Stegostoma tigrinum: one gene and its partners. The protein of the gene in region 1 interacts with the protein of each later gene in a pairwise test. Links are inferred from orthologs where the notes say so. Each region holds a gene or a part of one and is shown in the gene's direction. Other genes may lie near its edges. The genes, in order: morn4, bend3, ran-binding protein 3 and hmmr.

Region 1 (7,691 bases):
CCTAAAGGGCAACTTTTTCACACAGAGGTAGGTGCGTGTTTGGAATGAGCTGCCAGAGGAAGTGGTGGATGCCGGTACAATTACAACATTTAAAAGACATCTGGATGGGTGTAAGAATCGGAAGGGTTCATTGTATTACGATGGAACTCATTCCAACACAAAGACCTGGGATGTCTCAAAGTCTGAAACAACAGAATGTATTTTAGGCTAACATACCACCATATTCAAAAATAAGATAACAAGGTGTAGATCTGGATGAACACAGCAGGTCAGGCAGCATCAGAGGAGCAGGAAGGCTGATGTTTCAGATCTGGACCCTTCTTCAGAAAAAATGCGTTTGGACTTGTAACAAGTGAAATAGATGAGACGGCCATGTTTGTTATTTGCGTTTAAAAATAACAGCAGAAGCTGTTCTGAATAAGAATAAGCACCTGATAGACAAATAACTTTACAAACAAGGTAATGAACAGTTATATATTGAAAGTGAGAGAAGGACTATCTCCCAACCTGTTCTGATTTTAAGTTAATCTGAGATAAAATGAAGAACTGTAGATGCTGAAGATCTGAAACAAATTGCTGGAGAAACCCAAGAGGTGTGAAGACAAAGCAGAGTCAACATTTTGAGTCCAATGACCCTGCTTCAGAACTGGGTCAAAAGATACTGCCAGACCTGTGATTTTCTTCAGCAATTTCTGTTCCTGCTTCAAAATCATCTGAGATCTGGGCTCCTGACAATTCAATGCAAGAACCCATGCAGCTTGCTGAGAATCTCTGTTTTTACATGACCTTCACTCTAATTATCAGCTCATCTAACAAACATAAAAACTACATGTAAGCTGTGAAGTCTGAGAAGCCTGTTCGGACATAGAATCTCTACAGTGCGGAATCATGCCATCTGGCCCATCAATCCACATTGACCTTCCAAAGAGCAGCCCACCCAGACCCACCCCGTACCCGATCCCTGTAATCCTGCATTTTCCACGGCTAATCCATCTAGAAAGGTATGATGGCTAAACATTATTCGTCTGTCACAAGCAGTTGACTCCTTGACTACAGAAATATTCAGATGCCTCAGATCCTTGAATTGTGGCACTAATAACTGCAGCCCTGGTGTACTTCGATGTAGACAACACTGAGGATGAGCGCAGTATGCAGAGACTGTACTAGGGTCTGGCCTGCAAAACTATTTCACTCTTGCACCTCGTCATGAGTGAGAATAAAGAATCAGTGATGTTTCCACACATCTCAGTCATCTCTGTAGGGAAAGCCCTTTTGTCTTCATCAGGTTTTCAAGGGGGCATGCAGCCATTCAAAGCTGAGAGGTGTATAGTGTTCATTTCACATGTTCAATCTTCCTCATTATACCATGCACTTTCTTTGGCAGAAAAAAAAAATTTCTTCTCATAATTCAAAGTTGTCCTACAAGATGCTCAAGCACTTCAGGTCAACTTTTCAATCTGGATGTACGTTGAACATTGAAGGATTACTTGAGGACAGAAAGGTCAGAAGAAAATTTCTCAGAGTTCCTCCCATTATATAATGACAGAATTCACTGTGCAGATATGATATGCTGACTTAAGAGCCACCTAACTTTAGTGCCATGTGATGTTACTCTCTGTCTTTTCCCTAACAGTCAATACAACATGTAATGTGACTTGATACTTGAAAGTGGCTTCACCTGAAGAGAGCAAGTATACAATCAGAATGAAAATAAGACATTTAGCGAGCACAAGAAAAGCTCAAGGATTGCAACAGGATCCACACATCCTTTGCGTTAGGCAGGGGTTGTTTCCCAGATTAATGGGAATCATCAAACCCTGCTTATTCGTCCTGGGTTCACACACTCAGAGATGCACTGCTCTGTCTTGCTGACTGAGGTGGGTCTCCTTATAAATGTCCAGAACCACATCCTCATCTTCCTCTTCAAAAGATTGCTGTTGATCTCTTATTTCCTCTGCATCATGGACATTCCTGTGTTTTTCGGCTCCAGTATGCCACAATGACGCAAGACACCTTCAAGACTATACTGAAAAGCCAACAGACAGTCCAAGCAGCAAGATTGCATTTCAAGGAAACTACAGTCTGCTGCTGGTGAGATGTCAGCAGCACTGTCTGCATCAGTCTCAGGGTTGTGTAAAGGTGTCATGAGCCATGTTTGGAGGGGAAACCCTTGTCTCCCAACAATTATTGCCTGGTATGGAGGGAAGGTCTTACGAGGAAAGGCTGAGAGACTTGAGGCTGTTTTCATTAAGAAGGTTGAGAGGTGACTTAATTGAGACATATAAGATAATCAGAGGGTTAGATAGGGTGGATAGGGAGAGCCCTTTTCCTAGGATGGTGACGGCGAGCACGAGGGGGCATAGCTTTAAATTGAGGGGTGAAAGATATAGGACAGATGTCAGAGGTGGTTTCTTTACTCAGAGAGTAGTAAGGGTATGGAACGCTTTGCCTGCAACGGTAGTAGATTCACCAACTTTAGGTACATTTAAGTCGTCATTGGATAAGCATATGGACGTACATGGAATAGTGTAGTTTAGATGGGCTTGAGATTGGTATGACAGGTCAGCACAACATCGAGGGCCGAAGGGCCTGTAATGTGCTGTAATGTCCTATGTTCTGTGTTAATTACCACTGTAAGGTTAAAGGACATTCAAAGGAAGCAGAAACTTCTGAATTCTCTGTGCATTTGAGTCACAGCATTCCCAGAATATCTGGCTTGGACCTCCCAGATTCAGTGTTGATGGCGACGTATAATTTGAGCATTTAAAGAGTGGAAACCTTTTCTGTTGATGAACCTTGCCAGTTGGTGCGATTATGCTCTCAAAGCAAAGGGGCCATCTGGGGCAAGTCAGTGATGCTAAAGAATCCCACTACCCAGGGTGTTTGACTTTTCTAGTCATTGGGGAAGGACACAAACAACTGTGATCTGAAGAAAATAGCATCAGTTATATCCTGGATGTATCATGGATTGAGGATTGGAAGATACCACATTAATCCCCAGTTGCTTCTTGAAACGAGCTACTGGAATAAAAATTCAAGGCAGCTATGAACTTGCTGACAGGATTTGTGACAGGATTTCCACCAAGTCCTGTTCCAGCAGATGACACAGTTCAGTGATAATGATCCAGACAGTTGAAAAGAATGTAATAGGGTTGGCTCACCCATTTGCTTGAAGCACATGCAGTGTGTTTGCCGCATAGACTGTTGCCAAATGCTGGAGGTGTGTTGCTGACGTAGCTAACTGTCAAATGCTCCCTATTTTGACAAGCTTCTTGCCTCTGCCTCTGTGCTAAACAGCAATGAAGCCACAAAGTCTAGCAGCGCCTAAGTAAGCACAAAGTGAGTGAACACTAAAAAAGCAAGCAAAGAGCCTTAAGATGCATTGAGTGCAGATGCGTGTGTTTCCAGGTGCACAAAGCGGTCTGGCAGAAGCACAGAAGTTGTAGTTTTGCCTTAGCTCCAAAGGCAAGTGTTGATGTAATAAGAGAGTTGTTCCGTAAGCAGCCATGAATAGGTGGTGTGGCTGGTGTTCTTGTTTACATGAAAATATATTCTTTATTCATAAATTATTTATAAGTAAATTACAAAACAGTTCAAGCCAATATTACAGAAAATACAATGAAAATATCACATTTCTCAGTCAAGAACTTTGCACTCTTCGTTGTCTCAAAACAACTAAAAATTGGAAAACATTTATCAAATATGACCAGAAACTATGTACATTTCAATACAAGATATGAGGGTTTCTAGAAGCTAATAGACACTTGTACATGGAATGGCTGTTTCTTTTTCATTTCAGAACTATACTTTGTTCATTAAAAATTTTTTGCATAAATACAATTCGGTTCTGTACAGTAGCATATCAAGGGAACAAACAAACATTGGAGTTTGACTATGCAAACCACCCAAGACCTCGGTAACATACATAATACTACATTTACATGCATTTAGGCACCAGAAGGGTCTGATAACTGAACAGACTCCCACTTAACTTCAGCTGGAAGATATGGAGTGGCTGGTGGGTTAGTGATGTCAACTTGTATGGGCAAAGGGGCTGAGGATGATGGTGGTCATGGAGCATGCAGGGATGTTCTGCTGCATACGCAACTGAATAATGGAAGCAAGCAGTGAAGTGGCTTGTTTCATTTTAAATTACTGAGACTGGGCAGATCTGTGTACACAAAGCCAAAAAGGCTGTTAAAACTCAGCAGGTCTGGCAGTAGTTGAAAAAATGTGTGGCTGGAGGAGCACTGCAGGTCAGACAAGCAGCATCTAGGGATACAGAAACAGAGCTAACGCTTCGAGCTCAATCACCCTCCATCAGGAAACAACTCAAGAACTTTGCTTGAGCAATCAAAATAATCATTCACAAAAAAAACTCACAGGGCCACTCCATATGCCCCGCTCAGACATGGACGCCTTCAGATAATTGCATCGTTTTAAGAACAAAACCGAATTGTAGGCATCACCGTTTCGCCAGCGTATTGTACAAATTAAAATAACTTAAAATCTGCATAAATCCCCGGCTCTGTGCACCGATAAATGACATATTTACAATACATAAATGCTGCTTCTGCCCCTCACAGAGATGGCAGCCAGCCGCCTCAAGGCCGTTGCCAAGGGTAACGGAGCCAGTGGTGGGGAGGACACCAATGAAGGAGCGCGTTGTTGAGGGGTGTGGGGTCTGTGTCAGGAGGACATGTCTGACTCAGGCAGGGCCTGGGAGCTGAATATTCATCAATTTAAACCTGGCTCCCTGTTGCATGATCCACAGGCTGTTTAGCACTACAGGGTGAGTAGGCACTTTTTTTAAAAAAAGCTTTAAAAGAGTCCATTTTCAGCATCAGTGTTTCTTTTTGTTATTCTTTTCTGTCCCCCCCCCCCCCCCCCGAATTTGAATTCTCAGCTGGTAGGCCATTCAGATTTTTTCCTCCTGTACGTTATTGCTAAGTCCAAATTTATACTTGATTCACTTATTTCTACATCTGTGTTTTTAGTTTAAAAATAAGGACACTAGGCGTTTGCTGTTTGAGGGGATGTAAGTTGCCCATTTTTGATGAGCGAGATTGGATAATGAATGTTTGTTAGATATTTGGCTATGTAGGGCAGTGTATTATAAGCCTGATCATGTTCCTGACCAGACGTGTGCGTTCAAGTATTGACTTTCCAGAACAACCAATGAAAAGAAGTGATTTCTGCCTTCCCCCTTCTCCCACCTATTTTAATTCAGTGATGCTGAGGTCAGTTTCTCCCTAATCTCAGACCAGGGATGGAGGATGGCATCTTCCTTCTGTGCATATTCTGAGGTACCAATTGAGAGCCGGTGTATAGTTCTTTTCACTTCTGAGGTAAGTTTTTGGGTGCAATGCCAAATCTAGAGATCTGCGTATATAATATGAAAGATTATGTTACCAATGCCATACAGAGGGAGTGTTGTGATATTAGAGGTAACACCTTTCACATGTGACATTGAGAAGTAGAGCCAAGATGTCCTCAGCGGGTGTAAAAGATCCCATTCCACCAATTTACTCGAGCAGGGGAGTGTTCCCTGGTGCGCTGAGTCAATATTTATCCCTTCACCAACACCTAAAGCAAATGATCTAGATATTATCACTTTGTTTGTAAGAGCTTGCAGTGTGCTTTTGGCTGCCATGATTCACAACAATGACTACACTTCTAAATGGTATCACGTTGGCTGTGAAGCATTTAGTTATTCTGAAAGATGCCATAGCATCACAAGTTATTTTTCTAGTTGCTATGTGTAGTGGAATTGCATAAAGTTTGTTGACTGTTGTATTTAGTGATAAGAATGATTTGTTTTACCCACCCTTCCACCTCACGTTGTGTTGGCTGGTGAGTCTATAGATCTTCCAACGTTTGCTTTTAAAAGCTGTGTTGCAAAACAAAAGTCTTTGACATCCAGTCACCACAGTAGATGTTCCTTGTGATAGTATAGCCTAAGACTCTGAACAGTGCTGCATCATTGGCAGAGTTCTTTAGTTCAGTTTGCTTATCCTGGGAGCCAGAAAGAAAGACTTGCATTTATGCAGCACTTTTCACCACCCTGAAGGTACTGAAAGTACTTTGCAGCCAAGAAAGTACTTTTTGAACTTTGTGATGTAGAATTGTGATTGAAGAGTGTCTTCACGATCATTCAGCACTGAATTGTCTTTTGAGATACTTACGTTTTTAAAATTCATTCAGAATGTCAGAATTGCTGGCAAGGCCAACATTAATTGTTTATTTCCTTAAGTTATCTTCTCAAATGTAAATTAACAGCCATATATGCTGCCAGACCTGGGGTTATCCAGCACTTTATGTTTGTACTTGTATAGTGCTTTTGACATAACAAGGCATTCCAAAGAATTTCACAGCATTTTTAGAACAAAATATTCTGAGCCACATGAGAAAATATTTCCCAGAGAGAGAAATTTTAGGACATTTCTTAACATGTTATATACAGAAGGAGACAAATCAGGTGGCAAGTTAAAGAGGTTTAAGGAGGGAAATCCAAAACCTGGAGTCTTGGAAACTGGAAGGTGTGATCATCAACCATCTAGTGATTTTAAAGTTAGGGATACTTGTGGCCGAATTTGAGGAGCATAGATATTTTGGAAATAAATAGGCCACACCAGGTAAAGGCAGCTGGTTTCCTTCCTTAAAGGACATTAGGGAACCTCTTTTATTTTTTAACAACAGTCCCATAGTTTCCTGATCATCACAACTGAGATAATCTTGTTATTCCAGAATTTGAATGAATTCAATTCTGATTTGCAGTGATGGGATTTGAACTTGTGTCTCTGGATTAGTAGTCTGGGATTCTGTTAAGTTGTTCCCTGAACAGATTGAAGCATTCTGCCAAATGACTGACATGGCTAGAACTTTCTGACAAGCACCAAGATATCACCTGGCCACTGAGAAGGGCACTGCCTGTGAGATCCTTCATGTATGCCCAGACTCTGCACCACCACACGCTGCCCTCAAACTGGCTGCCGGGTGTTGGGTTGGGGGTAGAGACTGTCAGATATCTCCTTCTGGAACATGTTTTTACAAAGGAAATCTGGAGAAACATGCAGTAGTTTTTGTCAAGGTTCATCCTGAGCAGCTCTATGATGAAGGACTCTGTGTTCTACAGTCTGCTCCCTGGGACGCACAGAGATAAACAACGATTGCACCTGGAAGACTATCGATTTGGTGAAAGATGCTCTTTCATCTGCTTGAGACTTGCTAGCCCTTCCAGAGCAAGGAGTTGACCCTGAGCGAGTGTTGCAGACTATACGTTCCAAGGTCTCCGACTGTGTGCTGATGGATGCACAAAAGCTTTGGGCAGCTACCGCCAATGTGCCATGGGGAATCACCATTGTCTAAAGGATTTCTGTTAAAGTTAAGTGGGGGTCCATATGGTTGTAGGACCCTCCAGATGCCTCAAGTATATATAAATATAGTCTTGTACAAGTATGACGTGCCTTTGGGTTGTTTGTTGGATAGAGTCAAACTCCAATGTTTGTTTGTTTCTTCATGTGAACCAAACTGCTTCAGTGATTATGTATGTGCATAACAATATTTTTTGAATAAAGTATATTATTGAAACAAAAAGTGTCTGGGTTTCAGTGGGTTACCATTCCTTTAAGTATTTTGTGTGCTTCCTTCCTGGCCACTAGAACCAGATCTTTGAGTTACTTATCCAAATA
Region 2 (7,503 bases), on another chromosome or scaffold:
TCCACCCAGCCTGCACTACATTGGACATTATGGGCAATTTACTAAGGCCAATCCACCTAACCTGCATATAGATCATAGATTATAAAATCCCTATAGTGTAGAAACAGGCCCTTTGGTCCAGCAAGTCCACACCGACCCTCAGAGCACCCACCCAAACCCATCCCTCTATAACCCACCTAATCTACATGTCCCTGAGCACAATGGGGAATTTAGCATGGCCAATCCACCTAGCCTGCAAACATCTGGACTGCGGGAGGAAACTAGAGCACCTGGAGGAAACCCACGTAAACATGGGGAAAATGTGCAAACTCCACACTGACAGTCGCCCGAGAGTGGAGTTGAAGCCGCGTCTCTGGCGCTGTGAGACAGCACATCTTTGGACTGCAGGAAGAAACCCACACAGACACAGGGAGGATGCATGAACTCCACACAGACAGTCGCCCAAGGGTGAACAGAGTGTGATACAGATAGTTTTGTTATAACGTGTGTTTTGTTAACACAAGTTGGCAGTAACCTGATTGATGGAGGCTGTTTGGATATCACGAGCTTTCTGCTGTACACATATAGCAATTTTCTATAGCAATTTCCCTGTAACAATTTTCTATAGTAAGAGGTCACTCAAGAATGTTATTGCATTAAAGGAGAACTACTATATAGCCATCTTTTTCAGAGCGGCAGTCAGTGTCTAGTGGAGTTACTCAGCAATCAATGTTCAGTATGCAAGTTATACACTAACAATCTGGACGATGGACTGAGGACATCATTACTAAACTTGCAGGTGATGCAAATAAAGGTGAAAGAACTAGTAGTGTTGAGGAATTGCAGAGGCAACAGAAGGACTTCTGTCCAACCCATTGTATCCTCACTTCCGTTCTCCTGCACATTTCAGTCTCTCCCCTTCATTTGCAGGTCAAACCAATCGAAGGATCTCTCTGATGTTTATTTCCTCCCTTCTCACCAACTTTGTCTCCTCTCTCATCCCCTGTCATTATATGTTTTTCTAAAAAAAAATACAAACCAGGAACAAAACATTGGACAGGCAATGAGAGTGGGCAAAGAAGTGGCAGATGGAACACATTGTGGGAAAGTATTAGATTATGCACTTAGGGAGGAAGAAGAGAGGAGTAAACTATTTTCTACATGGGAAAAGGTTTGTAAATCTGAAGTACAAAGGGACTTAGCGTTCCAAGTTGAGGATTCTCTTAAGGTTAACATGCAGATTCAGTTGGCGGTTAAGATGTTAGCATTTATTTCAAGTGGGCAAGATTGCAAGAGCAGAGGTGTACTACTGAGGCTCTATATAAGGCTCTGGTCAGACAACATTTGAAATATTACGAGCAATTTTGGGCTCAATATCTAAAAAGGGATGTGCTGAGAGACCCCAGAGGAGGTTTAAAAGAATGACCCTGAGGATGAAGGGTTTCTCAAATGCGAAGCGGTTGAGGACTCTGGGTCGGTACTTGGAGTTTAGAAGGATGAGGAGGGTGAGGTTATTGACTTACTTCCCAAGCTGGCTTGTTTTTGTTAGGTGACACCTTCACTGGAGCCTCCAATGAAGTGGCGTTGTTCTACTCCACTTGGAATTTAAACTGTCCGATCCATTACAGTAAGTACTGTCATTCCCGGTTTTGATCTGTATGGGTTTGTATGTGGGGTCCAATTCTACATGTTTGTTGATTGAAGAATGGGTGGAGGACAATGCCTCTAGGAATTCCCGTGCGTGTCTATGTTTGGTTTTGGCTCCTGTGGTTACCTTGTCCCAGTTAAACTGATGGCCTTCATTGTCTCAGTGGACAGATATTAAGGAGAGTTCATTGTGCTGTTTTGCTGCTCGCTGATGTTTGTGTATTCTGGTGGCTAGTTTCCTTCCTGTCTGTCCGATGTCATGTTGATGGCGTTGCATGGTATTTTGTAAACCACGTTCGTTCTGCATGTTGTGGGAATGCAGTCTTTAATCCTTGTAAGCGTTTGTTGTAGAGTGGGTGTGGGCTTGTGGGGGCCACCCTGATTCCTACTGGTCTTAGGAGTCTTGTCGTCAGTTCCGATACATCCGGATGAGGAAGGTTTTGCGGAAAATTATGAATACTGAGAGGCCTGGACAGCGTGGACATAGATAATAAAATGTGAGGCTGGATGAACACAGCAGGCCCAGCAGCATCTCAGGAGCACAAAAGCTGACGTTTCAGGCCTAGACCCTTCATCAGAGAGGGGGATGGGGTGAGGGTTCTGGAATAAATAGGGAGAGAGGGGGACGCGGACCGAAGATGGAGAGAAAAGAAGATAGGTGGAGAGGAGAGTATAGGTGGGGAGGTAGGGAGGGGATAGGTCAGTCCAGGGAAGACGGACAGGTCAAGGAGATGGGATGAGGTTAGTAGGTAGGAGATGGAGGTGCGGCTTGGGGTGGGAGGAAGGGATGAGTGAGAGGAAGAACAGGTTAGGGAGGCAGAGACAGGTTGGACTGGTTTTGGGATGCAGTGGGTGGAGGGGAAGAGCTGGGCTGGTTGTGTGGTGCAGTGGGGGCAAGGGACGAACTGGGCTGGTTTTGGGATGCGGTGGGGGAAGGGGAGATTTTGAAGCTGGTGAAGTCCACATTGATACCATTGGGCTGCAGGGTTCCCAAGCGGAATATGAGTTGCTGTTCCTGTAACCTTCGGGTGGCATCATTGTGGCACTGCAGGAGGCCCATGATGGACATGTCATCTAAAGAATGGGAGGGGGAGTGGAAATGGTTTGCGACTGGGAGGTGCTGTTGTTTATTGCGAACCGAGCGGAGGTGTTCTGCAAAGCGGTCCCCAAGCCTCCGCTTGGTTTCCCCAATGTAGAGGAAGCCACACCGGGTACAGTGGATGCAGTATACCACATTGGCAGATGTGCACGTGAACCTCTGCTTAATGTGGAAAGTCATCTTTGGGCCTGGGATAGGGGTGAGGGAGGAGGTGTGGGGGCAAGTGTAGCATTTCCTGCAGTTGCAGGGGAAGGTGCCGGGTGTGGTGGGGTTGGTGGGCAGTGTGGAGCGAACAAGGGAGTCACGGAGAGAGTGGTCTCTCCGGAAAGCAGACAGGGGTGGGGATGGAAAAATGTCTTGGGTGGTGGGGTTGGATTGTAGATGGCGGAAGTTGATGCGTTGTATCCGGAGATTGGTGGGGTGGTGTGTGAGAACGAAGGGGATCCTCTTAGGGTGGTTGTGGCGGGGGTGGGGTGTGAGGGATGTGTTGCGGGAAATGCGGGAGACGCGGTCAAGGGTGTTCTCGACCACTGTGGGGGGAAAGTTGCGGTCCTTGAAGAACTTGGACATCTGGGATGTGCGGGGGTGGAATGCCTCATCCTGGGAGCAGATGCAGCGGAGGCGGAGGAATTGGGAATAGGGGATGGAATTTTTGCAGGAGTGTGGGTGGGAGGAGGTGTATTCTAGGTAGCTGTGGGAGTCGGTGGGCTTGAAATGGACATCAGTTACAAGCTGGTTACCTGAGATGGAGGTTGAGAGATCCAGGAAGGTGAGGGATGTGCTGGAGATGGCCCAGGTGAACTGAAGGTTGCGGTGGAAGGTGTTGGTGAAGTGGATGAACTGTTCGAGCTCCTCTGGGGAGCAAGAGGCGGCGCCGATACAGTCATCAATGTAACGGAGGAAGAGGTGGGGTTTGGGGCCTGCGTAGGTGCGGAAGAGGGACTGTTCCACATAACCTACAAAGAGGCAGGCATAGCTGGGGCCCATGCGGGTGCCCATGGCCACCCCCTTAGTCTGTAGGAAGTGGGAGGAATCGAAAGAGAAGTTGTTGAGGGTGAGGACGAGTTCGGCCAGGCGGATGAGGGTGTCGGTGTAGGGGGACTGGTCGGGCCTGCGGGACAGGAAGAAGCGGAGGGCCTTGAGGCCATCTGCATGCGGAATGCAGGTGTATAGGGACTGGACGTCCATGGTGAAATTGAGGTGTTGGGGGCCAGGGAATTGGAAGTCTTGGAGGAGGTGGAGGGCATGGGTGGTGTCACAGACGTAGGTGGGGAGTTCCTGGACCAAAGGGGAGAAAATGGAGTCCAGATAGGTGGAGATGAGTTTGGTGGGGCAGGAGCAGGCTGAGATGATGGGTCAACCAGGGCAGGCAGGTTTGTGGATTTTGGGAAGGAGATAGAAACAGGCTGTGCGGGGTTGGGAGAACAATGAGGTTGGAGGCTGTGGGTGGGAGGTCCCCTGAGGTGATGAGGTCATGAATGGTGTTGGAGGTGATGGTTTGGTGCTCGGGTGTGGGGTCATGATCGAGGGGGCGTTAGGAGGTGGTGTCGGAGAGTTGGCGTCTGGCCTCGGCGATGTAGAGGTCAGTGCGCCATACTACCACTACGCCACCCTTGTCTGCGGGTTTGATGGTGAGGTTGGGGTTGGAGCGGAGGGCTGCCCGTTCTGCGGGGGAGAGGTTGGAGTGGGTGAGAGGGGTGGAGAGGTTGAGGCGGTTAATGGTGGGTGAGAGGGGTGGAGAGGTTGAGGCGGTTAATGTGGGTGAAAGGGGTGGAACATGGATATGTTTCCACACATAGGAGAGACACAGGCCCGAGGGCACAGCTCAGAGTGAAGGGGTCTCCCTTAAGAACTGAGATAAGGAGGAATTTCTTCAGCCAGACAGTGGTGAATCTGTGGAACTTATTGCAGCAGAACGCTGTGGAGGCCAAGTCATTGAGCGTACTTAGGACAGAGATAGATTCTTGATTTGTGAGGGGATCACGGATTACACAGAGAAAATAGGAGAATGGGGGTGAGAAACAAAGCAGCCACGATCTAATGGCAGATCACACTTGATGGGGTGCATGGCCTAATTCTCCCATAACTTCTAGTCTATGGTGATTCCCCGACCCTTTTCTCCCCAAAGGTTTTCAACCTCTTTCCCTCACCCCTCTCTCCCTCACTCCTTTACCAGCCTCCTACCTCCATTCTCTCGTGTTTTGTTGTTTTCTCTCTCTCTCTCCCCCGGAGTTTTCCTTCCTTCTCTTGCTGCTCTTTCCTGCCTGTCAGTTTGTCTCTGGCCTCCCGTGTTTCTCATTTCCCCCTCGCTGGTCTCTTTTCGTGCCCCCCGTCTTTTTTTTCCTCTCTCAATCCTCCTCTCTCTCTGTCCCTCACTGCCCCGGTCCTTTCTCCCTGTCTCTGATGTTTCTCCCTCTCCCTGTGTGCGTCCTTTTCGCGTTTCCCTTCTCTCGTGTTTCTCTCCTTCCTTTCTTCTCTCCCTCTCGCCTGGCTGCGGAAATGACACAGAGTCACGTCACGGAGCAGACACCCGGAGTAACAGAGAGAGAGAGAGAGAGAGAAAAACACGGCTCCATTTTCCACAGGCGGCCGGGGAGGGAGCTCCGCTTGACTCAGCCGGAGCGGCCAGGTAAGTCTCAGGAGGAGGCAGCAGGACAAGGCAGCAACTCAGAGAATGGGGCTATGCAGGAGAGCGAGGGAGAGGTGGGAGGAGGGCAGGGAATGTGACACACACAGGAGAGAGATTTGTGTTTTATCTGCAGTGATCTTTATCCCTAAGCAAAGACAAACACTGCCTCTGAGAGCAGGGTCATGGCGTTACTGCTGTACGTGCCCTTTAACCAACCCCAGCGCTGAGCTCAACTGCTTTGCAATTGCACCCCCTCCTCTCTCTCAAGTTTGTAAGAAATTGTTGGTGATTTCGAAGCAACGTGCAATCTCACCCCCTTAGGAGGCAGTGAATTTTCAGGCTAAAAGGGAAGTGGAATGGGTTTTTTTTATGTTCCACGCTGAGTTATGTCTCGGGTTTTTTTTGCTGGGTGAAGACACAGCGCCCTCATAGGATTATCGTCCCCCTCCCCCGTGCCAGGCACATGGCAAACTCACTCAACTCCAGTTCGGCTCAGATTTACTGTAGCCAAATTGTACGCAATTTCATTGGGCTATCCCCCCCGCTACAAATCTCTTTAATGTATAAATCTCACCACTTCACATAAAAATAGATAAGACCACGCTGCATCAAATCAAATATCATACGTTTTCAGCGTCAAAATAAGCATTTCTCCTAATTATTAATGTTCCTTCTCAGATTGGGTCTTTCCACTTTTTAAATGCAGTTGCTTCTTTTACTTTGTAACAATAAGTTGTGGAAGCCAACTACACTTGACCTCACATTAAGCTGCATTAAATCTATTTCTGTTAATTGTGAATTTGAAAGCATAAAAGTGCATTTTCAAAAAATGTATTGGAATGACTACGGTGTGAGCAGAGGGTAGTTGGACAACAGCAGCTATTTCTTGAATGTTTACAGTTTGATTTAGTTCATGTGGAGAAAATGCAATCAGTATATTTTGCAACAGAATGAAACAGTAGCTGTTTTTTCTTAAAAAGTTAACAAAACACTTTGTCTGGAAAACAAAAATGGAGCTGTATATGGTTCATTTCTTTCTCAGACATTTATAATTCACTTCGGCAGATTAAAAAAGTTTTGTAAGAGACACTGGAAAGGGTGTACTTAATTCTTAGGCAAAATTAGCTGTTGAATGAATTAATTTCAGGAAGCTGATAAAATCTAAGTTGTTTATTTAAGGGCAGAGTGACTGAATGTATAACTTTGTTTCTGGTTGATGCAGATAACTTTACTAGCTGTTAAATAACACGCATTTGATTCGTTTGTTTTTAATCGTAGAGTTGTTTATTCCAGGTAGAAAATGAACATTGCGGAGCAGAATGGGGGACCTGGACCCAGAGTAATATTCATAGTTCGAAATCCTTCAGTCAGTACGAATGAAGAGTTAGGAAAAGGAGCACAAGGTAAGTTCCTTTATAAGTTCTTTGATGGGAAGGAGAAGAGGCCTTCATGATGTAATGGAAGTCATGCCACACACAGACATAAAGCAAAGATTTGCAGCCTGCTTCAGCAATACATGGGTAAGGATTTTAGTAGAAGTACTGACATGCCCTGTAGCACAAACTTGAATGGCTTTATCTTCTGTTCTTTTCTTTGTTAACTTCTGGTAATTTATGTCATTTCAATAGTATTTCTTTGGCACTAAGTGCACACGAGGTGAACAAATGGTGTAGTATCACCATTTAGCAAAAACACAGCTTGCAATTTAACTGGAATTGGTAGGTACCAAAATAGAATGTTCTACAATGAGACGTGATTAGCTGGGAAGAGCAATCATAATATTAATTCTATATCGAGTTTGAGGTTGATTTATTTCTGTAAAGTACTAGGTTGTTAACTCTGAAGAAGAAACCAAATTACATGTGTATGAAAAGCAAATATTGGAAATAAAATAGTGTATTCCTTAGTTGTATTTGGATGTTCTGAACTACAAAATTATCGTAAATGCATTTCATAAACTTATCCTCCTCACTATTACTGCAAATTTGTTTGATAAAGTCTACATGCAGATTAGAGTCCCCAGCATAACTATATTACTCAAGTTACATACACTTCTAATTTCTTCTTTTATATTCTGCCATACACTACAGCTACTTTTGCAGATCAATAAACTGTCTCGACTCTAACTGGTTTTACATCTGGATTTTAT
Region 3 (7,223 bases), on another chromosome or scaffold:
CATATAGTCTTTTTCCTAGGGATGGGAACTGAAAACTAGAGGGCATAGATTTAAGATGAGAGATGATAGATTTATAGGAAAGACATAGACAAAATGGAAAGTGTGCAAAGAAGACTTATGAGGACTTTTGTCAGGACTAGTAGGCGTGAGTTATAGGGAGATGTTGGTCAGGATACGACTTTATTCCTTGGAATGTAGGAGAATGAGGAGTGACCTTTTTGAGCTATATAAAATCATCAGGGGCATGGATAGAATGAATGCATATAGTCTTTTTCCTAGGGATGGGAACTGAAAACTAGAGGGCATAGATTTAAGATGAGAGATGATAGATTTAAGAAGGACCTGAGGGGCAACTTTTTCACACAGAGAGTTGTGTATATATGGATTGGGTTGCAGGAGAAAATAGTTGATGCTGGTACAATAGCAACATGTAAAAAAACACATTTGGAATAGGAACATGGAAGAGAAGAGTTTAGAGGGATATGGACCAAATGTAGGTGATTTGAACTAGCCAAGTGGGCACCATGGTCAGCATGGACCAGATTGGGTTGAAGGTCCTGTTTCCGTGCTGTATTACTCGATGACTCTTATGAACACCGTAGTCTTAAATTCTACGCCTGCATTAACAACGGAAAGCATGGCATTTGGTCTCCTAACTACTTTCTGAATCCCAGCTATTTGTGACATATGTCAACTAATTCAATGGGGGAATCAACTGCGATATTGCATTTCCCGCAACACATCCCTCACACCCCACCCCCACAATAACCGCCCTAAGAGAATCCCCCTCGTTCTCACACACCACCCCACCAACCTCCGGATACAACGCATCATCCTCCGACACGTCCGCCATCTACAACCAACCCCACCACCCAAGACATTTTTCCATTCCCACCCTTGTCTGAGTTCCGGAGAGACCATTCTCTCCGTGACTCCCTTGTCCGCTCCACACTCCCCTCCAACCCCACCACATCCCGCACCTTCCCCTGCAACCGCAGGAAGTGCTATACTTGCCCCCACACCTCCTCCCTCACCCCCCTCCCAGGCCCCAAGATGACTTTCCATATTAAGCAGATGTTCAACTGCACATCTGCCAATGTGGTATACTGTATCCACTGTACCCGTTGTGGCTTCCTCTACATTGGGGAAACCAAGCGGAGGCTTGGGGACCGCGTTGCAGAACACCTCCACTCGGTTCGCAATAAACAAACGCACCTCCCAGTCGCGAACCATTTTAACTCCTCCTCCCATTCCTTAGACGACATGTCCATCATGGGCCTCCTGCAGTGCCACAATGATGCCACCCGAAGGTTGCAGGAACAGCAACTCATATTCCGCTTGGGAACCCTGCAGCCCAATGGTATCAATGTGGACTTTACCAGCTTCAAAATCTCCCCTTCCCCCACTGCATCCCAAAACCAGCCCAGCTCGTCCTCTCCCCCCCACTGCATCCCAAAACCAGCCCAGCTCGTCCCTGCCTCCCTAACCTGTTCTTCCTTTCACTTATCCCTTCCTCCCACCTCAAGCCGCACCTCCATTTCCCACCTACTAACCTCATCCCACCTCCTTGACCTGTCCGTCCTCCCGGACTGACCTATCCCCTCACCACCTATACTCTCCTCTCCACCTATCTTCTCCTCTATCCATCTTCAGTCTGCCTCCCCCTCTCCCCATTCCCCTCTCTGATGAAGGGTCTAGGCCCAAAACATCAGCTTTTGTGCTCCTGAGATGCTGCTTGGCCTGCTGTGTTCATCCAGCCCCACACTTTGTTATCTTGGATTCTCCAGCATCTGCAGTTCCCATTATCTCTGCAATATTTCAATGTTTGCTACTGTAAAAACTAGGGGGATGTGTGAGTTGTGATGAGGATATCAAGGTGGTTCAGCTTATTTAGACAAGTTGAGTGAGTGAGTAAATAGACAGCAGACACAGGACAACATAGATAAATGTGAAGTTGTCCACTTTGATACGAAAAGCAGTGTGGCAAAGCATTATTTAAATGGTGGTAGACTGGGAAATGTTAATGTATGACACGACACAGGAGCAGACATAGATCTTCAGCCCATCATGTCTTCTCTGCCATATAATGAGATCAAGACTGATGTGATAATCCTCAACTCCACTTTGCTTCATTTACAAAGTGACAGGTGCTTATGCATCAGTCATTGAAGACAAACGTGTAGGTCCAGCAAGACATTAGGAAGTCAAATGGTATGTTGGCCTTCATTGCAAGAGGGTTTGGGTATGGGATTGAAATCATTTTACTGCAGCTGTCCAAGGCCTTTTGAGATCACAACTGGATACTATATGTAAAAAAGTATATTGTTGCCGATAGAGGAAATGTTATGCAAGGTCACAAGACTGAATCGTGGGATGGCAAGTTTATTCAAAAAGGACAGATTATATTGACTGGATGTGTTTTTACTGGAGTTTAGCAGAATGAGAGGTGGTCTCATTGAAACTTAAAATTCTGATAGGGATTGACAGACTGCCTGGAGGGATGGTGATTTCCCTGGCCAGCGATCCCAGAACAAGGGGTTACAGTTTCAGGGTACAAGGTTACATATTTCAGACTGAAATGAAGAGAAATTTCTCCACTCAGTAGGTAGTGAACATGTGAAATTCTCCTCAAGATGAAGCCGTAGTATTGAAATAACAGATCAGCCATGATGATGTTGAAAGGTGGAACAAACTCGATGCACTTATTTTCTATGTTTCTAGCCTGTTCTGTTTTCAAGGATAGGTGCATTCTAAAATTCCAAAGGACCTCTGTTCCTCTATAAGAGTCAGTATCATCCTGGTTAACATATATCCTCTTGTCTATTGTACTACTTCTCTTGTTGGAATTTTCTTTTTCATTTTCTGCCCAACCAACCTGCTCATCTACATCTTTCTGCAGTCTAAACCTTTCTTTTCACTGTCAAAACTCACACTGTTGCCAAGATTCATTTCAGTTAAAATATTTTTATCATGCATCTTGGATTACAGCCTACATCAAAAATATAAACTAAAAAACCCAAGGGTCAAGTACGGAGTCCTGCAGATCTCCCATGGAAACATGACTTCCAGCAGCAAAATAACCTGTCAACAACTAACTTTTGCTTCATGCCACTAAGCCAATTATGGATCCAAGGTGGCACTCTCTTTTGGCTTATACATTTTTGACCAGGTTGCTACGATTTTGTGAAAAGCCTTGCTAATATCCAAATAGGTTGTATCCATGCTGATTTTTAAAAATTAGTCGACTTTTTGAACTGAGATTGCTCTAGACACTACTGATCTTCTTGGTATTTAGCATAGACAACATTTGCTTGAGAGAGATGCCTCTGATTTTACATGCAGTTGCCTCCACATTGTGCTCATAGCACTACAGAAGAGAAACAAAAATTACTAAAACAAAACAGGAGAGTAGAACTAGGCACGTTGGTCTTGCAGAGACAGGATGAATCGCAACGCCCACTGTGTTGCAACCATTTTATGTTTCTAATGATGAATTATATCAATTTCAGCTACAGATCACATTCCCACATTGTAGCAGCGAGGCCAGCCATGTTGAACCCTCAAAAGATGTCCACCTCTCACTCTAAAAACAACAGACAATGCTGCAAATACGCAGCAGGTTTGGCACTATCACTGGGGCGAAGAATGTTCCAACTCCATGACCTTGATCATCTATGGTCGGTCCCACAGATGCACTATAACCAGCATTTCCGTTTTGACTTCAAATTCCCATCATCCGGGATGCATTGTTTTTGTTTTGACGCACTCTAATCCCAGTGGCCTGTTTGATATAAACTTCCTCAAACAGAACGAGTTAGAGATTAAACTCGGCTCACCATGCGGAGGCGCATGCGCTCTGCTGCCGCGAACGAGTCATTTAACAGGCGATTTATTCCCGTCCCTGCTCTGTCGATCACTCACGAAGCCGCCGCTGCCTGTTGGGTGACTGACTGACTATGAAACCGCTTCCTGAAAATAATCTCCGATCTCTCCACCCCTCACCGTCCCTCCCCGACAACGGACAGGTCACCAGCTGCAAGCAGGCAGCGCAAGCGCACTACACGGACCGTTGGTCATTGACGGTTAGCCCCGCCCTGAGCAACATGTGCGCGTGCGCTCTCTTGGAGACTTCTGTCATCGGTAGTTTCCCTGCAAGCACCGCCGGGCACTCAGCAACAAGTGCGCACGCGCGATTCTGCACCCCTCCCCACCCCCAAAAAGTGGCGCCTCTGAGGATAAGCCGCATGCGCATTGCTACTTTCCGTTCGCGGTGAATTGTGGGGACGCGGAGAATCCTAAAATGGCGGATCTAGCCAACGAAGGTAAGCAGGTGAAAATGAGCATGGAGCGCGGCTCAAGCGAGGTGTTGGGGGTGTAGCTTCTTTAGTCCAAGATGTGCACGCAGCTGCCTCAGGTTTCTGCCTCAGGTTTCTGCCTCAGCCTCAGTGCAGTGTCGGTGTCCGCTGAATGGGTAGACTAAGGGGAGGAACGAGTTGCACACACCCACAACAAAACACCGGCTAACCAGGCCAAAGCGTCAAACAAATCAGTAACAAAATCAAATAGTGTTAATCGTTTGGATAGTTACAAGAGGAAGGGGTAAGGCTCGAAAAGAAAGTATGTGTCTGTTAGAGGTAAACGGTGAGAAACAGAAAGTGATTGAAACATAAACCTGCCAGAAAACGGGAAGGGGGAGCGTTCGAGAAGGAGAATTAGGAAATGAACGGTGAGATAGAAAGCTCCGAAAGTGATTCGGAAAGAAAACAGTAAGAGGGAGAAAGCCACCAGGGCAGTGGGTGGGGTATAATAACAGGGTTAAGGGAAGAATCAGTGTGGGTAGCAGCAAGAAAAGAAGGTGGTTGGTAAGGGAGTGATCGGGGAGGAGACACAAGGGGAAATTAGTAATGCGGCAAGATTAGATTCAGCGAGTTGTGATCAGACCGGACGGTGGTGTGAACGAGTGAAATGAGGGAAATGGCAGAAGGAAATTGTGATGAAAGCAGATGGGAAGAGACAAGTTGGATAGAGGGGGAGTAGGAGGGTACAAAGTGCAGAGAATGTAATTTGGAGTATGCCACTAACTTGTTGAGCCTGTCCATCGTTCAGTAAGGTCATGGCTAATGTGGGTTGAGGTCTCCACTTCACTTCCTTTTTGACCAAAAATCTCTCAAGTTCAATCTTGAATAAATTTAAAGTCCCAGCATCCACTACCTTTTAGGGAAGTGTGTTCCACGTACAATAGATTCAGGAAAAATAATTGTCAGCTCTGTCTTACAAAAGAGAACTCGTCTTAAACTGTATCTGTCGGTTTCAGTATCTGCAAGAGGATATATCCTCCTGGCATCTATTGTTCACTGCCCTTGAGATCTTGTATGCTCAATTCTGGATGTAGGTCTAACCTGTTCAACCTTTATCATAAAATAAGCCCTTCACCCCAGTCCAAAGTGATGGAGGTGAGTGAAGAACCTTGGTGCTAGAGAAGAACGTGAAGGAGTAAGGGACAGATGAGAAATGCAGAGATGAATAAGAGAAATCAATAGAGAAATCATAGGCTATTTAGCCTCACTGTGTTCAATTACAGATTAGCTGTGGTTTAGCTCCGTTTTCCAACCTTTCCTCCATATCCTGGTGATTTCTCATCAGAAGATTTCAGTTGACTCAGAATCTAGAATTTTCTCAACACACTGCTTGTGTGGGGAAATATGCTAGCTAATCCCTCTCCCAAATTGCTAACCTATTTTGAGGTTGTGCATCCATATTCTGGATTCTCTTATCTCAGGAAATGGTTTCTTTGTACCTACCCTATCAAATCTCTCTGATTTTAAGGACCTTATTTGGATCAAGCTTCTAAACAAAATCAAACCAAGTTTTGCAAACTCTTCATTTACTCATTTTATCCCTGATAGCATCATAAATGAGGATTTGTAGGTCATTTGAGAGCAGATAGTTCTGGTAGAGGTGAAAACTATTCTCACGAAAGGGAAGGGAAGGATTTCAAGTCCCTGGATGACTAAAGATAAGCAGATTAAAATGAAACAGGAAGAAGTTTATGATAAAAGGACAGTTTCATAATTGAGTAGACAACCAAATCAAAAAGAACTGGTCCTGACCCGAAACGCTAGCTTTCCTGCTCCTCTGATGCTGCGTGGCCTGCTGTGTTCCTCCAGCTCCACGGTGTGTTTTCTCTGACTCCAGCAATGACAGTTCTTATTATTGCTGACAAATATAATGAGTGGGATAACTGGTTAGAATCATATCTAGTACCAAGATAGATAATGGCAGTTGATCAAGGCCTTCAGCTCAGCCTGAGGACAATGCTGCTGTAACTCTTCAGATGGCCTCCAACCCCAACTATTGGTGGCTGTTTCATCAACAGCTTTTCTCCCATGCTGAGTAGGAATGGTCATTGTGATTGTGCAGTTGTCAGTACCACTCACAATACCACAACCACTGTAATAGTCAATGTCTTTATGCAGCAAGTTCTCGATATCATTCAGGCATGGACTGATAGTAACAATTAACATTTCTGCTGCACAAGTATTGTGCAATGACCAATTTCCGAAGGGCAAATCTAACTCTCACTCCTTGATTAATACAAAGAACTGTGGATTGTGAAAATTCAGAACAAAAGCAGAAATTGTTGGAGGAACTCAGCAGGCATAGCAGCATCTGTGGAAAGAAAGCAGAGTTAAAATTTCAAGACCAGTGATCGATCCTTCTTTGCTGTTTGATATTCAATGGCATTACAATGCATATATCAGGAGTGTGATGAAATCCACTCCACTTGGAAATATAAGCATAGAAAGTTGGAGTAGGCCATTCGGCTCTACAAATCTGCTTTGCCATTCAAAATGTTCGTGGTAGATCAGCCAACGCAGTACCTTCTCCTGCTTTTTCCCCATGCCAGTTGATCCCTTTAGTCCTAACAAGTATATCTAAGTTCTTCTTGGAAGCACTCACATGTTTTAGCCTCAGCCACTTCAGTGGCGGAGTAAATACACAGGCTCATTACACTGGGGGAAGGATTTCTTCCAACATTCAAGAAGCACGACACCAGAACAAAGCAGCCCACTTGAGTGGCACCTCATCCACGATATTAAACACCAATTCCTTCCACATCCAGTGGTAGCAAGACTGTATCAAAAACAAAATGCTTTGCAGAAATCTGCCAAGCCTCCAACAACAGCACCTTCGATATTCATGACTTCTGCCACAAGATCAAT
Region 4 (7,183 bases), on another chromosome or scaffold:
GAGGGTCTCCTGGTCCCGGAGGTGTTGGGGTGAAGTGTGGAGGGTCTCCTGGTCCAGGAGGTGTTGGGGTGAAGTGTGGAGGGTCTCCTGGTCCAGGAGGTGTGGGGATGAAGTGTGGAGGGTCTCCTGGTCCAGGAGGTGTGGGGGTGAAGTGTGGAGGGTCTCCTGGTCCAGGAGGTGTTGGGGTGAAGTGTGGAGGGTCTCCTGGTCCAGGAGGTGTGGGGATGAAGTGTGGAGGGTCTCCTGGTCCAGGAGGTGTTGGGGTGAAGTGTGGAGGGTCTCCTGGTCCAGGAGGTGTTGGGGTGAAGTGTGGAGGGTCTCCTGGTCCAGGAGGTGTGGGGATGAAGTGTGGAGGGTCTCCTGGTCCAGGAGGTGTGGGGATGAAGTGTGGAGGGTCTCCTGGTCCAGGAGGTGTGGGGGTGAAGTGTGGAGGGTCTCCTGGTCCAGGAGGTGTTGGGGTGAAGTGTGGAGGGTCTCCTGGTCTAGGAGGTGTGGGGATGAAGTGTGGAGGGTCTCCTGGTCCAGGAGGTGTGGGGGTGAAGTGTGGAGAGTCTCCTGGTCCAGGAGGTGTTGGGGTGAAGTGTGGAGGGTCTCCTGGTCCAGGAGGTGTGGGGGTGAAGTGTGGAGGGTCTCCTGGTCCAGGAGGTGTTGGGGTGAAGTGTGGAGGGTCTCCTGGTCCAGGAGGTGTGGGGGTGAAGTGTGGAGGGTCTCCTGGTCCAGGAGGTGTGGGGATGAAGTGTGGAGGGTCTCCTGGTCCAGGAGGTGTTGGGGTGAAGTGTGGAGGGTCTCCTGGTCCAGGAGGTGTTGGGGTGAAGTGTGGAGGGTCTCCTGGTCCAGGAGGTGTGGGGATGATGTGTGGAGGGTCTCCTGGTCCAGGAGGTGTTGGGGTGAAGTGTGGAGGGTCTCCTGGTCCAGGAGGTGTTGGGATGAAGTGTGGAGGGTCTCCTGGTCCAGGAGGTGTGGGGATGAAGTGTGGAGGGTCTCCTGGTCCAGGAGGTGTGGGGGTGAAGTGTGGAAGGTCTCCTGGTCCAGGAGGTGTGGGGGTGAAGTGTGGAGGGTCTCCTGGTCCAGGAGGTGTGGGGATGAAGTGTGGAAGGTCTCCTGGTCCAGGAGGTGTGGGGGTGAAGTGTGGAGGGTCTCCTGGTCCAGGAGGTGTTGGGGTGAAGTGTGGAGGGTCTCCTGGTCCAGGAGGTGTGGGGATGAAGTGTGGAGGGTCTCCTGGTCCAGGAGGTGTGGGGGTGAAGTGTGGAGGGTCTCCTGGTCCAGGAGGTGTGGGGGTGACGTGTGGAGGGTCTCCTGGTTCAGGAGGTGTTGGGGGTGAAGTGTGGAGGGTCTCCTGGTCCAGGAGGTGTGGGGATGAAGTGTGGAGGGTCTCCTGGTCCAGGAGGTGTGGGGATGAAGTGTGGAGGGTCTCCTGGTCCAGGAGGTGTGGGGATGAAGTGTGGAGGGTCTCCTGGTCCAGGAGGTGTGGGGATGAAGTGTGGAGAGTCTCCTGGTCCAGGAGGTGTGAGGGTGAAGTGTGGAGGGTCTCCTGGTCCAGGAGGTGTGGGGGTGAAGTGTGGAGGGTCTCCTGGTCCAGGAGGTGTTGGGGTGAAGTGTGGAGAGTCTCCTGGTCCAGGAGGTGTGGGGATGAAGTGTGGAGGGTCTCCTGGTCCAGGAGGTGTGGGGATGAAGTGTGGAGGGTCTCCTGGTCCAGGAGGTGTTGGGGTGAAGTGTGGAGGGTCTCCTGGTCCAGGAGGTGTTGGGGTGAAGTGTGGAGGGTCTCCTGGTCCAGGAGGTGTGGGGATGAAGTGTGGAGGGTCTCCTGGTCCAGGAGGTGTGGGGATGAAGTGTGGAGGGTCTCCTGGTCCAGGAGGTGTTGGGGTGAAGTGTGGAGGGTCTCCTGGTCCAGGAGGTGTTGGGGTGAAGTGTGGAGGGTCTCCTGGTCCAGGAGGTGTTGGGGTGAAGTGTGGAGGGTCTCCTGGTCCAGGAGGTGTTGGGGTGAAGTGTGGAGGGTCTCCTGGTCCAGGAGGTGTGGGGATGAAGTGTGGAGGGTCTCCTGGTCCAGGAGGTGTGGGGATGAAGTGTGGAGGGTCTCCTGGTCCAGGAGGTGTTGGGGTGAAGTGTGGAGGGTCTCCTGGTCCAGGAGGTGTTGGGGTGAAGTGTGGAGGGTCTCCTGGTCCAGGAGGTGTGGGGATGAAGTGTGGAGGGTCTCCTGGTCCAGGAGGTGTGGGGATGAAGTGTGGAGGGTCTCCTGGTCCAGGAGGTGTTGGGGTGAAGTGTGGAGGGTCTCCTGGTCCAGGAGGTGTTGGGGTGAAGTGTGGAGGGTCTCCTGGTCCAGGAGGTGTGGGGGTGAAGTGTGGAGGGTCTCCTGGTCCAGGAGGTGTGGGGGTGAAGTGTGGAGGGTCTCCTGGTCCAGGAGGTGTGGGGATGAAGTGTGGAGGGTCTCCTGGTCCAGGAGGTGTGGGGGTGAAGTGTGGAGGGTCTCCTGGTCCAGGAGGTGTGGGGGTGAAGTGTGGAGGGTCTCCTGGTCCAGGAGGTGTGGGGATGAAGTGTGGAGGGTCTCCTGGTCCAGGAGGTGTTGGGGTGAAGTGTGGAGGGTCTCCTGGTCCAGGAGGTGTTGGGATGAAGTGTGGAGGGTCTCCTGGTCCAGGAGGTGTGGGGGTGAAGTGTGGAGGGTCTCCTGGTCCAGGAGGTGTGGGGATGAAGTGTGGAGGGTCTCCTGGTCCAGGAGGTGTGGGGGTGAAGTGTGGAGGGTCTCCTGGTCCAGGAGGTGTGGGGGTGAAGTGTGGAGGGTCTCCTGGTCCAGGAGGTGTGGGGATGAAGTGTGGAGGGTCTCCTGGTCCAGGAGGTGTTGGGGTGAAGTGTGGAGGGTCTCCTGGTCCAGGAGGTGTTGGGATGAAGTGTGGAGAGTCTCCTGGTCCAGGAGGTGTTGGGGTGAAGTGTGGAGGGTCTCCTGGTCCAGGAGGTGTTGGGGTGAAGTGTGGAGGGTCTCCTGGTCCAGGAGGTGTTGGGATGAAGTGTGGAGGGTCTCCTGGTCCAGGAGGTGTTGGGGTGAAGTGTGGAGGGTCTCCTGGTCCAGGAGGTGTGGGGGTGAAGTGTGGAGGGTCTCCTGGTCCAGGAGGTGTGGGGGTGAAGTGTGGAAGGTCTCCTGGTCCAGGAGGTGTTGGGGTGAAGTGTGGAGGGTCTCCTGGTCCAGGAGGTGTTGGGATGAAGTGTGGAGGGTCTCCTGGTCCAGGAGGTGTTGGGGTGAAGTGTGGAGGGTCTCCTGGTCCAGGAGGTGTGGGGGTGAAGTGTGGAGGGTCTCCTGGTCCAGGAGGTGTTGGGGTGAATTGTGGAGAGTCTCCTGGTCCAGGAGGTGTTGGGGTGAAGTGTGGAGGGTCTCCTGGTCCAGGAGGTGTTGGGGTGAATTGTGGAGAGTCTCCTGGTCCAGGAGGTGTTGGGGTGAAGTGTGGAGGGTCTCCTGGTCCAGGAGGTGTTGGGGTGAAGTGTGGAGGGTCTCCTGGTCCAGGAGGTGTTGGGGTGAAGTGTGGAGGGTCTCCTGGTCCAGGAGGTGTTGGGGTGAAGTGTGGAGGGTCTCCTGGTCCAGGAGGTGTTGGGGTGAAGTGTGGAGGGTCTCCTGGTCCAGGAGGTGTTGGGGTGAAGTGTGGAGGGTCTCCTGGTCCAGGAGGTGTGGGGGTGAAGTGTGGAGGGTCTCCTGGTCCAGGAGGTGTTGGGATGAAGTGTGGAGGGTCTCCTGGTCCAGGAGGTGTTGGGGTGAAGTGTGGAGGGTCTCCTGGTCCAGGAGGTGTTGGGGTGAAGTGTGGAGGGTCTCCTGGTCCAGGAGGTGTTGGGGTGAAGTGTTGGGGTCGGGGAAATGGATGGGGAGGTCAGAATTTGAAAGAATCTTTGCGGGGGTTGGAAGTAAACAGGGAATGTTGGGAGAACAGTCTGGGGAGAGTTACCATGGTGAAATGGTGGGGACAGTTACCACGGCGACAGGCGCTGAGCATTTCCATGGTGACGGCGTGATGGAGGATTACCATGGTAACAGTGGGGGCGAGGAACTCTGGTGGTCGGGGTGATGGTTACCCGGTTGATAGAGAAGAGGCCCGCCCCCATAACGGTCACGTGAGCGGACCAGGAGGCCGTTGGCGGTTCCCGGGCCTCTGATTGGTGCGCGGTGTCATGTGACCGAACATTCAAACGGCCGGCGGTTGGCGGGGGAGCCGGATCGAGTTATTCCATCAACTGACGGTCGCAGCTCTCGGACGGGACGAGACGGCATGTCATTCCCCAGAGCGCCGCTTAAACGCTTCAACGACAAAGTGGGTGAGTTGCGTTCCCGGGGCTCACAGGGAATCCGATCTCCGAGAACTTTCACTGTGTGTGGGTGAGTGACGGCTCCGCTGCAGGTTGAGGTCTGATCGCAGCCGCTGTCAGCTTTTTGTCATGTTCATGGGACGTGGACGGTCTTTGGCTGGGTCAGCATTTACTGCCCGTTCCCTATTGCTCCTTCAGAAGCTGCTGTTGTTTCCCACGTTCTGTTGGCCTGATGCACTTTGCCTGGTACGATCTGCACGCAAAACAAAACTTTTCACTGCACCAAGGTTCATGTGACAATGACAGATTAAATCAAAAGTATCTACTTTCCCCTTGTCCTTTTACATGGAAGCGAATGTTGGTTTGAGAAGTGCTGTCTAAGGATCTTTGTATTTCTGCAGTGCATCTTGTTGCTGGTACATACTGCTGCTACTGAGTGTCGGTGGTGGAGGGAGTGGATGCTTGTGGATGTAGTGCCAATCAAGCGAGCTGCTTTGTCCTGGATGGTGTTCCAAAAGTGATTGAAGGAGAAATTTCTCTCAATGGGAGGGTGTTGGAAATCTGCATGCAAGAAAAGCCCTTTGGCCCACTGAGTCTGTGTCTTGTGGATGATGCACACTACTGACTGGGGGTTGGTGGATGGAATGGATGCTTGTAGATATGGCGCTAGTCACGCAGACTGCTTTTTGTCCTGTTTGGTCCTGCACCCATCCAGGCCAGCATGGTGTAGGCAACTAAAGCGCCAGGCTGTTTCCGCCAGTTGTGTCTTCGCAGGGTCTTCAAGGACAGGTGTGCAAATTCCAATGTCCTGATTGAAACAGATTTTCCCCAGTCATGCGGTCATGGAGAATGAGGTTTGCTGGCTTATGCTGTGTCTACATCCCAAGTGATCAGCTTCTCAAGAAGGCCCACTTTTCACAGGTTAAGAATGACGTAAACTCTCACAGGACAGAATAAATGTCTGTGAGAACATTCTGATTTGTTGGTTTCATTTGACAGGATGATAGTGGGCCTTCCAGGTAGAGATAGAGATGGATCTCTACTTTGGACTTCTGGCTAAAGATGGTTGCAAATATATTTTGTATTGATTCTCTATCATTGAAAATGGAGATCTTTATGGAGCTTCTCCTTCAGTTAATTTACTTTTACACCATCATTCGTGTTGGGTGTTTGGCAGGACTTTGAGAATTTGGATCTGATCCAACCTGTCGATTGTGAGATCCTTTGCTTACTCAGTTGCTTGCTGCTTCAGCTAGGTTTGCATGTATGTGGTCCTTGGTAATTTCACTGCTTCAGCGTTTCATTTTTTGATATATCTTGTGTTGTTCCTGGTTGTGTGCAGAAAACATAATAAACAAGGCTCAGTCCCTTGCCTTGGTGCTATCAGTAGAGGGGGATGTGCTCGACCATTTGATCATAAATTGTGGCTAAATACAATTCTGTACTTCTAATAGCCTATAATGTCTCAATGACAATGGAGCTGCTAGATTTCCCTTAGTATTCATGGCCAGAGGAGCCCTCCACACCTCCAGTTGTTAACCCTCCGTCCCTTTATGTTGGATTGAAAGAATTCTTTTTGGGACTGCAAGAATTCCTTATAGCACTTCCTGTGCTGACACAAAAAACAGCATCAGATTATGGCTAGCATATACCCTTCAATCACAATCCATATTTCAGTAACAGCTTTTTAAAATGATGTGTCCCCATGTGTAACACAACAGTGAGCCCCAAGGGGATAACTTTGTACCATTGTCAAAAATTTTGGACAGAAGGAAATTTTAATTATCTTCATTCAAGAATGTCACTGGGGAGGACTGAGATTAGGCACAAGGATATTTTGTATATTCATACTTAAGGCAATGTTGATGGTGCTGTTTGAGTTGAACCTATGATGAAGTCAAGAAGTTGAAAGTTGGAGATATGAGGTTTGCATTGTGTCACAACTCGCTGAGGATAGTGCATTGTAATTCAAACCCATCTTTCCCTGAGTTGTCACAAATGTGAAAATTTGATTAAACCCCTGAATTGCCCAATTCTATTTAACTATAATTCAGGTTGACAGATTTAGCACACCCGCCTTTTCTATTAATAAGAAAATAATGATTGATCACAATAAAACTATTCATGACAATGGTAAAATGTTGGTTAGATGAATTTCAAACTGGATTTATAATTTATATAACTTAATCTTTAAAATATTCACTCGGGTGCACAGGGAAACAGACAAGACACAAATATTATCAATGGAGAGGAAAAAGAACATCAGGAACATAATTTTGTATCACAGGTCCAAGATCTTAAAACTAGATGAATTGGCTTCAGAATCCGTTTGAGTGTTTGATGATCAATTTGCAGTTCACTGGCGATTTGGTTGGACTCAGGTCTGTCTTGTTCCGGTGAACTTCAGTATTCGTCATTTTGACAGCTCTGAACATAGTTCCTCCTTGCTCTTTCAACAGAATTTGAGGATACAATTTTCCAGAGCAAGAGAGCGGACAGATAGGGAGATGTTGATATTGCAAGCTTTGGGCAATTTCTAATGTCTTCTGTTTTCATTCCCCTTAGGATCTGTTAGATTGCAACATGATCAATCAGAGGCTTTTTGCTATGCTGAGTTCACTTGACCCCATAACAAATTATGCCAATTGAAAAGTCAACCAAAGATAGATTGTCCAAGCAGAGTTGCTCCTAACACATCAGTAGAGCTGTTTCATCTAGGCATGGTCTTTCTAAAAGTAACATTGTAACATTTGTATCAATCACCTTCACTCATTTTCCAAATCTGCAAATAACTCCTTGTATATTCTCCCTTTTTAAAGTAGTGTGCATTTTTCTCATTTTCAGTCCATACTCAAAAAGATAAATAGGTGGGATCTCTTACAGGCAGTAGATGATTGGGGTT

What was found.
Region 2: the proteins of morn4 (region 1) and bend3 interact in binary tests that used the Homo sapiens proteins (3 or more experiments, as listed by UniProt). The two-hybrid records come from large-scale screens. The link is inferred for Stegostoma tigrinum from reciprocal best matches to the Homo sapiens genes MORN4 and BEND3.
Region 3: the proteins of morn4 (region 1) and ran-binding protein 3 interact in a two-hybrid assay, tested with the Homo sapiens proteins (2 studies listed by BioGRID). The two-hybrid records come from large-scale screens. The link is inferred for Stegostoma tigrinum from reciprocal best matches to the Homo sapiens genes MORN4 and RANBP3.
Region 4: the proteins of morn4 (region 1) and hmmr interact in binary tests that used the Homo sapiens proteins (3 or more experiments, as listed by UniProt). The two-hybrid records come from large-scale screens. The link is inferred for Stegostoma tigrinum from reciprocal best matches to the Homo sapiens genes MORN4 and HMMR.

The regions. Positions count from the first base shown.
Region 1 is NC_081373.1:12,102,142-12,109,832, forward strand, and holds the start of morn4 (MORN repeat-containing protein 4), read left to right. Parts: upstream 1-4,678; 5' UTR 4,679-4,792; intron 4,793-7,691. UniProt on the Homo sapiens protein: Plays a role in promoting axonal degeneration following neuronal injury by toxic insult or trauma.
Region 2 is NC_081357.1:28,190,921-28,198,423, forward strand, and holds the start of bend3 (BEN domain-containing protein 3), read left to right. Parts: upstream 1-4,500; 5' UTR 4,501-5,354; intron 5,355-6,647; 5' UTR 6,648-6,654; coding exon 6,655-6,757; intron 6,758-7,503. UniProt on the Homo sapiens protein: Transcriptional repressor which associates with the NoRC (nucleolar remodeling complex) complex and plays a key role in repressing rDNA transcription.
Region 3 is NC_081383.1:25,610,556-25,617,778, forward strand, and holds the start of ran-binding protein 3, read left to right. Parts: upstream 1-4,221; 5' UTR 4,222-4,300; coding exon 4,301-4,322; intron 4,323-7,223. UniProt on the Homo sapiens protein: Acts as a cofactor for XPO1/CRM1-mediated nuclear export, perhaps as export complex scaffolding protein. Bound to XPO1/CRM1, stabilizes the XPO1/CRM1-cargo interaction. In the absence of Ran-bound GTP prevents binding of XPO1/CRM1 to the nuclear pore complex.
Region 4 is NC_081366.1:12,723,979-12,731,161, forward strand, and holds the start of hmmr (hyaluronan mediated motility receptor), read left to right. Parts: upstream 1-4,177; 5' UTR 4,178-4,244; coding exon 4,245-4,290; intron 4,291-7,183. UniProt on the Homo sapiens protein: Receptor for hyaluronic acid (HA). Involved in cell motility. When hyaluronan binds to HMMR, the phosphorylation of a number of proteins, including PTK2/FAK1 occurs.